2 linked regions of the Kluyveromyces lactis genome follow. The protein of the gene in region 2 purifies or fractionates together with the protein of the main gene of each other region. This does not show direct contact. Links are inferred from orthologs where the notes say so. Each region holds a gene or a part of one and is shown on either strand. Other genes may lie near its edges.

Region 1 (3,088 bases), on a different chromosome or scaffold from region 2:
GTTCCCTCATGAGCTGGTCCAAGTGCGGTTCCCGCGCTCTTCAAGTCCGTAACGTCAGTGGAGCCCTCCTGGCTGAACCACACAGCAGTGAACCATAAGCAGTAAATGCAACTAACAATTGTGTCCACACTGAACACAAAAGTAACCGTGGACATTAAGAGGATATTGGGCTTATAAACTTGTCTTATTCCTGAAATGAATACCACTAGACAGAAAATTGACCAGATGTAAAAAGTCCATTGCACAAAGTCTAACGGGTGTCCAGTGAAAAGTGCAAGAACACCATACATCCCGCTGAATTTGTTGAAGGTTAGCACACCAAGTGCAACCTCAACACCTATGTACAAGGGATAAGACAGGAATGTCTAAAGGGCAATGTCATCTGTTAGTACATATTACTGGTATCAAAAAAAAACCATGCATCAAACGATCATGTAAAAACGTCTTTCAACTGCGGTTAAATACCCAAAAGAAACATACTTGTGGCAAATGAACCATATTTGATTGCTGCTGCATAGGAGTATAATAAGGACAAACCCTGACGTTAAAGCAAGTTGGTTTCTTCCACTTACACAGGTAGACCTTTCAATTCATCTACTGAGCGTTTTAGAATGTTTACAACTATTTCCTCTATTGAAAAGCAATTCGCGATCCTGTCTAGAGCATCGTGAAAAAAAAACGTAGGAAAAAAAAAAGTACGCTACTTTACTTTAATGGTGTACAAGATGAGCGATGAGGTTGGAATAGTGGTTATTTACAGAACAATATACGCCGTTCAGCTCCTGTGTATTGTCAAATTAGTAAATCAGAAAGCAGAAGTTATCTATAGTTGGACTACGAATGATGAATATTGACGATAAGCTGGAAAAACTGAATTTAGCCAACCGTGATGAGCATGTCAACACTCAGATCCTAGAGAGGTATGCCAATAGCATCAAAACAGATGAGTTATCATTAACTAGGGGTAAAACCAGCAAAGATAAGGCGAATAGGGCCACTGTAGAGAATGTTTTAGACCCACGTACGATGAGGTTTTTGAAATCCATGATGAACAGGGGAATATTATCAGCATTTAATGGTTGTTTGAGTACAGGTAAAGAAGCAAACGTGTACCATGCGTTTGCTGGTAATCATGAGGAGAGACATCTGCTGGTAGAGGGACATGATGATACAATAGGAGCCCCACAAAATATTGAATCAACAAAACAAAAAGCTCTAACTGCCGAATCTGAGGATGCCACATCCACTTCAACTGCCACTGATGAACCAAAAAATAAGAAGGAATACGCGGTGAAGATTTACAAGACATCTATCTTGGTTTTTAAGGATCGTGAAAGATACGTTGATGGTGAATTTAGATTCAGAAATTCGAGATCTCAACATAATCCTCGTAAGATGATCAAAATTTGGGCTGAAAAGGAATTTAGAAACTTGAAGAGAATATACCAAAGCGGTGTCATACCTTGTCCAAAACCAATAGAAGTTAGATCAAACGTTTTAGTCATGGAATTTTTAAATAGAGGAGATGGTTTCGCATCTCCGAGGCTTAAAGATCATCCTTACAAAGATAGAGAAGAAATTAAACATTACTACAATTTAATGATAGCGTACATGAGACTGTTATATCAGGTATGTCGCTTAGTTCATGCAGACTTGAGTGAGTATAATAGTATTGTACATGAGGATAAGCTTTATATTATTGATGTTTCGCAATCCGTACAACCAGAACATCCTATGTCTCTAGATTTCCTAAGAATGGATATTAAGAATGTTAACTCATATTTCCAAAAATTGGGAATTGACATTTTCCCTGAACGGGTGATCTTCCAGTTCATCATCAGTGAGGTCTTAGACAAATTCAAGGGTGATTACAGATCAAGCGATGATCTAGAAACATATGTTGCCGACAATTTACCTCTAAAGTTGACTGATGAAGACGAAGCTGAAGATGAAGTGTTCAGATCTTTACATTTGATAAGAAATTTGGGTGGTTTAGAGGAAAGAGATTTTGATAGATTCACTGATGGTAAATTTGACCTACTGAAATCATTAATTGCTAATGAAAACAGGAAATATTCCGAAAATTTCACAGCATCGGAGCAATATGAACTCTCTTCTTCTGATGACGAGGAAGATGACGTAGATGGTGATGATCTCCCTAACCTCGTAACGGATATCAATGAAGATGACATAGCTGGATCAGATGAAGATGATGATAGTGATGAAACTAACGATAGTTCTGATGGTGATGGATGGGTCTCCGATAAAGACACTCCACTGAAAGGAAAAAAGTACGAAGATAAAGATGCTAAAAAACAACGTAAGCAAGAAACAAAAGAGGCCAAACGTGAAAAGAGGAAGACCAAAGTAAAAAAACACGTTAAGAAAAAGCTCATTAACAAGACGAAAAGCAAGAAATGATCAATTTAAAAATTCTATGCAATTTCAAATATTTAATATTTACTTAGCGATTTTAAATAGATCCACCGCTTTGATGTTGCCCTACAAGACCTGCCATTTCCAATAATGCACGATCTTCTCCCATGCTTTGTAAGTTGATCTTTTGCCTTCTTTTGGCTTCGGCCTCTTCCCATTGCCATTGCTTTACTTGCTCTTCGAGCTCTTTTTCTCCTCCGCATCCCCACACTTCTACATCTTGGATTATGAATCGGTATTCGAACGAATTCCGTTCTTCTCCACGTCCACTTATTAGACGGCCAGGCTTAAAACTCCCACCTGCTCCCAAATGTCTAAATATACCGAACTCGAGAGATGAATCAATAGTAAGTGAAACATTTCCTGGGAAGTATTTTTTACCGTTAGCTTTGATGATAGGTTGAGAGCTACCAATACCTATACCTCCCCCAACAGTGTTGAAATATACGTTTCCTGTCTTGAATGGGTCCGCATCGAAGATCTCTTGTCTTGGATGAAGTTGGATAATTTTTGTAGACGAATCACCAAACAAATCTTTATTTGATACTTTCCATGGGTCGCGAATACAAACAGCAAATAACAATTTTCGTTTTTTCTTACTTAACGTATCCAAATGTTGATCTTCACTTTTTAACTTACCATATTCTTGCAG
Region 2 (2,746 bases):
TTTTTATTTTCTGTTGATACACTGATACGTTTGTTGTGAAACTGAATCCCTAAAGAGTTGATAATAGAGAGAATATAGAAAATGTTAAAGCCTTAACAAAATTGTAACGATAGTTTACCTTATTTTAATGAGCACTATTTTTTTTCGGCTTTTTCTGTCTCTTTATATTTTCGGGGTTGAATTTATAGAAAGAAAAAAGGGTAAACTGATTATGGTATTTCTGTCTAAAGGAACTATTAAAAAAAAACACCGGTATGGGCTTTGATTCTGAACTGATTTGAACCAAACTTTGAACTTTTCGATTTGGACCTGAGGTTACTAAACTAAGACAATCTTGTGGAGAAGACTCAAACAATACCCTACTAGTAGTATCGCAGTTATATAATATCGTACTTTTCAGGGATATATCGCTACTTAAATATCCGTGCTCAGAACTGATCTAGAAAACAAAAAAAAAAAAAGAAAACGGGAGATCACAATCACAATCACAATCCCAATCACGATAAAAGCTAAAAGTCGAACAATGATGAAATGTCACAGTGTGACGAAGTGTAACTATTGGTGATGTAGTGTGAGTGCTTTTATGTATTATGTATTGTAATACGGATGGAGCGGTTACAGCCGGTTCCCGCTGCGTTAGTTTGGCTTCTCTGTTCCACGTTTGAACATTTTCTTTCCAAGATGCTGAGAAGGTGTGCGGCATAAACGTCATTTACGCTGGATAGCGATAGAAGTAATCACTTTTCTGTCTCAGAAGATGAATTTGCTTCTGTCTAATAGGCCAATTGGAGTGTATTTGCTACTAACATGGCTTGATAATGTTGTTACCGTAAAATAAGGGCTGTTCTTCTGTATACTTTTCTGTGTCCTATTGACTGAATGTCCTGATTGCGGTGAAAGCAAACTGAGAAAGCAAAATGCATGCCGGACCTGGGGTAACCTAGGGTAACCAAATTATATCTCCTAGTCGGGATATAAATTTTGTGGACTGCTTTTCTCCATTAACACCCGTACATTCGGCAATTTCAATTTCCATCTTTTTTTTCAATAATGATCGCCACTTTCTTTAATAGGAAATATTGACCTTTAAACAAAACTATCTTGACACGTGATTTATAGCCTCTTTATATCCTCTTACCCTGCCAGTACAATCAAAGTTTTTCAAAGGTTTCTAGCTTCACAACCATGCAAACACGTCGGATATTTTTTTTTCACACATGAGACCTATCTATCTCATCACTAAACAAAGCTGCATCTTACCAAACGTTAAGTAATTTAATTTTATAATCTCTATTTGTTTCTCCTTCGAAGCTCCCCACGCATTGTATTTATTGTCGATTGAAAGTTACCTATCCATCAACTTTCCGTGATCCAATCCCGACAAGTCTTTATTAAGTACAATTCGATAAATCAAAGATGTCTGCTCCACAAGCTCAAGGTCAACAAGCTCCACGTAGAGGTGGTTTCGGTGGTGCCAACAGAGGTGGCAGAGGTGGTAGAAGAGGTGGTAGAAGAGACCAAGAAGAAAAGGGTTGGGTTCCAGTTACCAAGTTGGGTAGATTGGTGAAGGCCGGCAAGATCTCTTCCATCGAAGAAATCTTCTTGCACTCTTTGCCAGTCAAGGAATTCCAAATCATTGACCAATTGTTGCCAAACTTGAAGGATGAAGTTATGAACATCAAGCCTGTCCAAAAGCAAACCAGAGCTGGTCAAAGAACCAGATTCAAGGCTGTCGTCGTCGTTGGTGACTCCAACGGTCACGTCGGTTTGGGTATTAAGACCGCTAAGGAAGTTGCTGGTGCCATCAGAGCCGGTATCATCATCGCCAAGTTGTCCGTTATCCCAATCAGAAGAGGTTACTGGGGTACCAACTTGGGTCAACCTCACTCCTTGGCTACCAAGACCTCTGGTAAGTGTGGTTCCGTTTCCGTTAGATTGATTCCAGCTCCAAGAGGTTCCGGTATCGTCGCCTCCCCAGCTGTCAAGAAGTTGATGCAATTGGCTGGTGTTGAAGATGTCTACACCTCTTCTACTGGTTCCACCAGAACTTTGGAAAACACTTTGAAGGCCGCTTTCGTTGCCATCGGTAACACCTACGGTTTCTTGACTCCAAACTTGTGGGAAGTCCAAGCTTTGACTCCTTCCCCAATGGATGTCTACGCCGACTACGCCACTGCTTCCAAGAAGAAGTTGTAAATGTCATCTTTAAAATATTATAACTGTGCTGTATAGATATTTTTTTATAGCTGTCAGTATGTTTTCTCTGAAACAATAATATATTGTTGACATTTTACCAATTGTTCCTCTTCTCTTCACAAGCTACATATCATATATATTCACACTCATTATAATTGACCTTAACCCTTTAGGATCGATCATAATAAATGATCAATATACGTGACAAACTAACTAAGGGAAACTATATGACTGTCCTATACACTTCGTAGCAAGAAAAACCAGAGAAAAAGACATATGGTAAAAAAAAGAGATAGTGATAAAATCAAGGTAAAAGGGATTTCTCTTATATGACCATTAGAGTACAGGTCAAGATACGCCAATCATATTAATAGGCTTCTGGAATTTAAACACTGCCAGTCTCTTTTTTACAGTAGTCTTTCTTCCGGTTGACCTTTTTTTTTTATTACTTTACAGTATTTTTTTACCTTTTAAGACTTTTTTTTTTTTTAATAATTAATAGATATAACACTATAATAATAATTCAAATAAAACAGTTAAGGATATCACC

The links.
Region 1: the proteins of RPS2 (region 2) and RIO1 purify together in Saccharomyces cerevisiae (affinity purification with mass spectrometry; 3 studies listed by BioGRID). This does not show direct contact. The link is inferred for Kluyveromyces lactis from reciprocal best matches to the Saccharomyces cerevisiae genes RPS2 and RIO1.

Annotation. Positions count from the first base shown.
Region 1 is NC_006041.1:1,885,612-1,888,699, forward strand, and holds RIO1 (protein kinase RIO1), read left to right. Parts: upstream 1-840; coding exon 841-2,421; downstream 2,422-3,088. Other genes in the region: KEI1 (Kei1p), read right to left, coding at 1-365, 481-516; RTC5 (Rtc5p), read right to left, coding at 2,474-3,088. UniProt on the Saccharomyces cerevisiae protein: Required for the final endonucleolytic cleavage at site D converting 20S pre-rRNA into the mature 18S rRNA. Required for the final steps of cytoplasmic maturation of the 40S ribosomal subunit.
Region 2 is NC_006042.1:901,738-904,483, forward strand, and holds RPS2 (40S ribosomal protein uS5), read left to right. Parts: upstream 1-1,416; coding exon 1,417-2,196; downstream 2,197-2,746. Other genes in the region: OM14 (Om14p), read right to left, coding at 1-1. UniProt on the Saccharomyces cerevisiae protein: Component of the ribosome, a large ribonucleoprotein complex responsible for the synthesis of proteins in the cell.